Linked DNA regions of Anolis sagrei. The protein of the gene in region 1 interacts with the protein of each later gene in a biochemical or structural test. Links are inferred from orthologs where the notes say so. Each region holds a gene or a part of one and is shown in the gene's direction. Other genes may lie near its edges.

What was found.
Region 2: the proteins of STAT2 (region 1) and IFNAR1 form a complex in vitro, tested with the Homo sapiens proteins (2 studies listed by BioGRID). The link is inferred for Anolis sagrei from reciprocal best matches to the Homo sapiens genes STAT2 and IFNAR1.

What each region holds. Positions count from the first base shown.
Region 1 is NC_090022.1:138,707,146-138,711,065, reverse strand, and holds the start of STAT2 (signal transducer and activator of transcription 2), read left to right. Parts: upstream 1-1,446; 5' UTR 1,447-1,544; intron 1,545-3,920. UniProt on the Homo sapiens protein: Signal transducer and activator of transcription that mediates signaling by type I interferons (IFN-alpha and IFN-beta).
Region 2 is NC_090023.1:69,799,310-69,803,229, forward strand, and holds the start of IFNAR1 (interferon alpha/beta receptor 1), read left to right. Parts: upstream 1-1,433; 5' UTR 1,434-1,495; coding exon 1,496-1,559; intron 1,560-3,920. UniProt on the Homo sapiens protein: Together with IFNAR2, forms the heterodimeric receptor for type I interferons (including interferons alpha, beta, epsilon, omega and kappa).

The sequences.
Region 1 (3,920 bases):
TGGCTCCAGGAAGCATTTCTCAAAATCCTGGGCCGGTTTGTTCCAACACAAAGGACTCGATCAAAACCCATTTGCATGGACAATAAAACAAATGGTTCTTATCAACCAGATCTCAGAGGGCAAAAGGCTAGTCCATCTGGAGATAAGACCATCTTGATCCACCAACACAAAGGGTGCTGTCCTATCTGTGGAGGATCCAGGCTCCCCACTGCCTCTTTTTCATTGTGAGGACCCAGCTGGCTGATACCAGTCATAAATCCCATCAATGGACTCTTATCCCGGATGGAAGGACAACAAAAGATCTGGTCTCTGAGCCAGATGAAAATGTATCTTCCAGAGCATCAAAACAATAGCCTGGCCAGCTTGAGGGCTAAAGAAGGCAATCACTGACCGCTTAGACAATCGTTAATAATTTTAATCTTATCACCTTTCCTCTTCATTCATTGTTTCCCACCTGGCCTGCCTCCTCTCTTCCCATTGGCCAAGAGGCCGAAGCGGCGCTGGCTCTATGATTGGACAAGGCGCAGCTAAGCCAGCCACACCTCCCAGCCAGCTGATGACTCCAGCCAATCAGTGAGAAGCCAGCAAGGGGGGTGGGAGTGAGAAATTTGAATTTGACAGCTCTGTATTTCCCATAAAAACTGTAATATTTCCCCTTGTGAGTTATGTCGACTTTGGTGAATGATTGCAGTTTGACATCCACTCCAGCTGGAATGAAATAAACAACTCGGTGGCTTCTTCTTCAACTTAGTGAGATTTATTTGGGAAAAATAGTGAAAAATTCTATTTGGGTATTCTTGTCTCGCCAAGTGTTTGGGCCCTCTTTGGTGGGTCTGGCTGGGCCTTGCCTCAGTAGGACCCCCCCCCCTTAAATCTCATGTTTGACATCAAAATCACCCCCAGGCAGCAATCAGCCAGGCTTTGAAGCTGCAAGGGCCTTCAATGCTAATCAAGGTGGCCAATTTCAACATTCACACTTGCCTCAAGCAAACAAGAGTTCTTTCTCCCACTCTGGACATTATTCCACAGATATATACACCTCATTTGCCTAGTTTCCAACCTCTGAGGATGCCTGTGGGCGAAACGTCAGGAGAGAATGCTTCTGGAACATGGCCATACAGCCCTGAATAACTCACAGCAACCCAGTAGAGTTTGGGTTTTGAAAACTGTGGAGGGAAACTCCAAAAAAAAAGGAGTTGAAATGCTGTACAGGAATCTACACTGAGCATAGAATAGAGCTTCAAACTGCATTAAACGGGGCATAAACACTGCCAACCCTTTCCAAACCTGCCCAGGATTTGAATAGTCATGGGTCAAGCCAGGCTCCGCCCACGGCGCTGACGTCATTCCTGGGAAATCGAAATCTACAGCCGCCAGAGCCGGCTCTTCCCTTCCCGGGCGCTACTCCCTCCGCGCCTGGGCGGGGCTCCGGCGCCTTGACCAATCGGGAGGAGAGTGGGCGGGGCATTCGCTTTCCTGCTTCTGTTTTCGCTCCATAGACTTCGAAGGAAGGGAGCGCGCCGGCCCTGCAGAGAGCGGTCCAGGTGGGTGCGCGCGCAAGGTGGGCTTGGCGCGGGTGGGCGGGGAGGTCTGCTGGCTCCTACTGGAGTGAGACATAGGGATCTGGATGAGGTGTTTGCATCATCCAAAGTCGCAAACATCTCGGAGGAATGCTTACATAACTTAAGGGAGCTCAAGGAAAGATCAAACAACCCCTTAAAGCATCAGACATGAGCAAACTTCGGCCCTCCACATGTTTTGGACTTCAACTCCCAGAATTCCAAACAGCTGGTAAAGATACTGTTTTAACTGCCATGGCTCAATCAATGGAATCCTGGGAGTTGTAGTTCAATCTTTTGGAGACAACTTCAGGGCCTCTTTCAAAATACAGTAGACTCTCAGGGCCCTTCTCCACTGCCAGATAATCCAGAATACCAAGGCATATTATTCACATGATCTGCTTTGAACTGGATAATCTGAGTCAAAATCAAGAATTAGTTTTCTAAGATCAGAGATACTCGCAGGAACACCTCAGCAAGCAAGAGTCCAGGAGTGGCAGGCAAAAACCCAGAACTTCAAGCCATGAATGAGAGACTCCACCCCGGGCACACAGAAGACTGGGCAGCTTGGAAGGCAATGAGATGCAAAGCCAGTAAGATGGCTGGGATTTCTGGGAGTTGAAATCCAAACACAGCATCCATAAAATTTATTTATTTACCACATTTGTATACCACCTTTCTCAGCCCGGAGGTGACTCAAGACGGTTCACAGCTGGCAACAATTCAGTGCCTCAACAATTGTAAAGATACAGTTAAAACAATTATAAAATTAAAGCATTTAAGATATAATATAAAAACCGTACAAAGCCATAAAAATGTAATCAGCAGTGTCTCCTTACTAAAATTGTTATCCAATTTCAAAATACAGTAGACTCTCAGGGCCCTTCTACAATCAGGGCCAGCTAACACCTCCCAACAAAGGATGCCTCCAGGCAGGAAGCAGTCAAGCTTTGAAGCTGCAAGGCTATTAAATGCTAATCAAGATGGCCAATTGCAACATTCACATGTATCTCTTGCAGACAGGAGTTATTTCTCCCACCCTGGACATTCCAAGATATATAAACCCGATTTTCCTAGTTTCCAACACACCTCACAACCTCTGAGGATGCCTGCCATAGATGTGGGTGAAATGTCAGGAGAGAAGGCTTCTGTAACATGGCCATACAGCCCAGAAAACTCACAGGAACCCTTCTACACTGCCAGATAATCCAGAATATCAAGGCAGATAATCCACATGATCTGATTTGAACCGGGTTATCTGAGTTTACACTACAAATTCAAAGCAGATAATTTGGATTTTATACAGCTGTGTAGAAGGGGCCTCAGTTAACTGAAACTGAAGCAACCACTAGTCTACTAAGGAGCAAAAAAGAATAGAAAAAGAATACAGCATCCACAAAGCTGTTTTTGTAACACAGTAAAACTGTTACATTAAATTTGTTTTAATTGGACTCAATTTGCTTTTAATTACTGTATTTCAATATTAATATCAAGTCAATGCAGAATCTATGGTGTGGTGTATTATGGGCATAACATTAGTAAGGCTTATTTTTAATAGTAACTCTCAAGCAACCAGAAATGATAATATTTCCAGTATCTAGCAATTCCCATGAATGAGGGTTACTGAGGTCACATCTACATAGCCCATTTAATGCAGTTCAAAGCTAACTTCAAACTCTAGCAGCCAGATAAACTCCTACAAAAGTGTGTGATCCTTTGAAGATGCCAACCACAGATGTAGGCAAAACATCAGGAGAAAATGCTGCTAAAACACGGTCATACAGCCCAGAAACCATACAACATGGTGTGTGAAAGAAAGTTCTTAATATGCATCATTACTCTGTGATTTGTGTAATTACCATCTTGGCCGCCATCTGGTTTCAGGATTTTCTGTGTAATCATCTACACCAGGTATGGAAAACATCGGCCCACCTGGTGTTTTGGACTTCAACTCCCACAATTCCTAAAAATTGAAGTCCAAAATACCTGGAAGGCTGAAGTTTGCCCAGGCCTGATCTATACAGCAAAACCATTTTTTTCAATACTGGTTTGAAGCAGCATTAAATGGCTAGCGTAGATGTGTCTGAGCATTTCCTGCTTATAAATAAGAATGAAACAATAAAACTATGTAACAAAATTTGAAAAAAACATCTGTTCCTGGTTTGAAAGTGTTATTTCTTGTTTAATTGTACAGTACTTGCTTTGAAAGTAGTTGTTATACTCTAGAAACTTCATTTTTGTGGCAGCCACAAACTAGGTTGAATGAGTTAAGACTCTATGAGAATATTAACTGGAAAAGCTATAACAAAATGTGCTGCAAGATGTCCCACAAAAACAAATGTTTTAATAAACTTTTCCCAT
Region 2 (3,920 bases), on another chromosome or scaffold:
CCCTGATTGATTCTTGCCTGCCTTTCTTTTTGAGTGTTGCTCCTCATTTTCTGTCCTGTTTTTAGAATTTTTCAATGCTGGTAGCCTGATTTTGTTCATTTTCATGACTTCCCTCTTTCTACACATGCAGAAATGTGTGAACTGTGAGCCACAGTCCCGTGTTTTGCTCGTGAATTGGTGGGGAGTATTACAGTAAGTTGTAACAGGATCAAGTATGTGTGTGTGTGTTAAATAGAACCTGATACTGTTGATTATTATGTGCAGCTGCTAATGTAGGTCAACTGGTAAATTTGGACCACACTTGGTGGGGTATAACTATATGGGTTTTGGAATACAGACCAGTTTTTGCTCTGAGAAGCCTTTGCTCAGGCATTTTGCTCAGCCATTTCTACTGCTCTCTCGTTTGGATCAATATAAAGAAGCCTTATTCTGTATTGCTTACAAGGACTAAGTAAGTTTGTTGCACTGTTTGCAACATTGCAAGTTTATGTTTTAACTGCTGGTAAGAGTATTTTTTTTTCCTTTTGCCTGGGTGCAATGTTATTGTGTCTTCTGCATTGGACCTGACTGAAACACGCTCTGTGCAACAGAGAGGGTCTTTGCGACTGCCAAAAGCCTTATCAAGGGTCTGGAGAACAAGCCCTATGAGGAGCGGCTTAAAGAGTTGGGCATGTTTAGCATTCAAAAGAGAAGGCTGAGAGGAGACATGATAAGGTCCATATATGAATATGTGAGGGGAAGTCATAGGGAGGAGGGAGTAAGCTTGTTTTCTGCTGCCCTGGAGACTGGGACGAGGAACAAAGGCTTCAAACTACAGGAAAGGAAACTCTACTTGAACATTAGGAAGAACTTCCTAACTGGGAGAGCTGTTCAGCAGTGGAACTCTCTGCCCGGGAGTGTAGTGGAGGCTCATTCTTTGGAGGCTTTTAAACAGAGACTGGATGGCCATCTGTCTGGGGTGCTTTGAGTGAGACTTTCCCGCTTCTTGGCAGGAGGTTGGACTGGATGGCCCAGGATGATTCTATGTCAGTTAAAGGGGTGTCAAACTGTATGAACCCTGGGTTGTTGTTGGTTTTTCAGGGCTATATGACCATGTTCTAGAGGCATTTTCTCCTGACATTTCGCCTGCATCTAGATATATAAACCCATTTTTTCTACTTCCAACAGATCTCACTACCTCTGAGGATGCTTGCCATAGATGCAGGCGAAACGTCAGGAGAAAATGCCTCTAGAACATGGCCATATAGTCCGGAAAACCTACAACAACCCAGTGATTCCGGCCATGAAAGCCTTCGACAATACATTGTATGAACCCTGACTCATTATGCTTGACTCGCAATCACAGCACTGTATGTGTGACTCTCCTCTGCGTGCCTCTACGGGGGGAAAAAGGAAGGCGGTGCATTTTTTTTCCTATGGGCGGCTCCACGCTGCTGCGGACTCTGCCTCAAGCGCGCCCCCTGGAGGCCGCCCCGCGGTACTTGCTGGTTGAGCTATGGCAGGGGCGCGCGCCGTGCTGGTGGTCCTCTTGGCGCTGGGAGTGGGCACCGCGTCCCCAGGTGAGTGAGTGCCCCGCACGCCGTCCTCCCCCCCGATCTCCAACCCCCGCGTCATCCGTTCCGCCTCGGCTTTGGTTCCGCTTTGCCTTGGGGCTGGGAAAGGGGCGAGCAAGTGACTCCGTATCTTTGGAGGGTGGGGTGGGTCATGGCTCAGCGTATGGAATCTACTCCAGGGATGGGCCAATTTCGGCCCTCTCTCCAGGTGTTTTGGACTTCAACTCCCACAATTCCTAACAGCCTCGGGCCCTTTCCTCCCCCCACCCAGCCGCTTAAGCGGCTGGGTGGGGGGAGGAAAGGGCCCGAGGCTGTTAGGAATTGTGGGAGTTGAAGTCCAAAACACCTGGAGGGAGGGCCGAAATTGGCCCATGCCTGATCTACACTGCATTGACACCACTTTTAATGGCTTCAGTGCCATGCAATCGTGGAATATGTCGTTTGTTAAGGCATCAGTCCTCTTTGGTAGAACACCTTGCAAAACTACAACTCCCAGCATTGAGCCTTGCAAGCTAAAGTGGTGTCAAACTGCGTTAGTTCCACAGTGTTAAATGATGCACCCTGGGTAGAAGTGAACCAATGAGGAAGGAAACGTTGCAAAGGCCCGTTGCATTTCTGTTTTCATCACAAAGAGAGGCAAAGGTACACTTGATGAAAAGGAAGCAGGCTTCCTGGAAAGGGAGCATCATTTCTTGGCACTTCATGTTTGAGCGCAATCGGTGCGTGTTGATAAGCCAGGGCTTCCAGGAATTGGGCCATGCCATTTCATTTTTTAATGTATCTATTAGTGAAGTGTCAGTGAAAGTATTTACTTCCTGTGTATTTTATTTGCGTAGTGCGCCATACCTTTTTATTTGGGGACATGTTATTATTTATTTCGTATACTTTTACCCCGCCCTTCTCCTCCCAAGAGGGGACTCAGGGCGGCCCCACATAAGCACCCTACTATGCTATCATCATTTAAATAATAAACAAATATATTAAAATATTAAAACACTTCATTAAAACAGTAAATTAGTCACACCAGTTAAAACCAAATCCAAGTCTGAGTTTGTTGCAGTATCTAATTCTTCTTTCCAAAATTTTGTGGTTTTGACTACTGAACCCTCACTCCGACACCAAAAGCCATTAGAAAACGTACTCTTTCAGCTGCAGAGTATGGCAGTAAATTTCACCAAGATAATTCTAGAATTGGGTGCCATAAATCAGAGGCCCCTTCCACATAGCTAAATAAAATCCCACATCTGCTTTGAACTGGGATATATGGCAGTGTGGACTCAGATAACCCAGTTCAAAGCTGATGTTATGGGATTTTCTGCCTTGATATTCTGGGATATAAGGTTGTGTAGAAGACCTCAGAGTCGTTTTGAAGGCACATAACAGCAACAAGCAACAACCATTCGCTGCTCTGCCTCAGGCAGCAAAACATTTTGGGCTTGGCATGGAGCATTATTCCTCCACAATCTCTACCATGTGGTTTTATTGCTGGTAGATTTCAGGATATGGCAGAGTGTCCTGGTGAGGAATTAGGAGATCTGTTGATATGGATGCTGATTTGCACAGGCCTTAATAGAGGAGGGAAAATAACGGATCTTTCAAATAGATTGAGAAGCCATAGGACTGTTGCAAAGATACTGGTCCTGTTTCTTTGCTGCAGCCCCCCCCCTCCCCCCAATTGTCTTTAAGATATGAAGTCTTGGTACTGTGAAGAAAAAAAGTCATCCAATTATAATTTGCACCATAATTATTTGAATATCTGTGCATTATTATTTACATTTCTATCTGGAGTGAACTTAGGTTCCTAACTGGAGCGAATTATAGGGAGTGGACAATCCCTTATTAAAACAGCTCCACTGGCTGCCGGTAAGTCTCTAGTCCCAATTCAAGGTGCAGATTATCACCTACAAAGCCCTAAATGGTTCAGGTCCAGCCTATCTTTGCGATCACATCTTCCCCTATGATCCTGTGCAAGCTTTAAAATCTGCTGGGAAGGCCCTTCTCTCACTCCCACCTCAGTCACAAGCACAGTTGGTGGGGATGAGGGAACAGGCTTTCTCAGTGGTGGCCCCCCAGCTCTGGAACTCTCTCCTCAGGGAAATTAGATTATCATCCACCCTGTCCACCTTCCGTAAAGACATGAAAACTTAAATGTTCCAATGTGCCTTTGATTAATCAGTTTGTCAGTTGACGTGGCCCTTCTAGCCCTAATTTAATTATCTGGCTTTTGCACTTTACAACCAGCTCTACCATTGCAGGTGTATTGCACAAGCCCTTCCCCTGCCCTCATAGCTCTGAACACACCCATTGTGCTTGGCTACTGGTTGTTATTGGTTGTTGATGATTTATATCTGTATGATGTCTTGTATG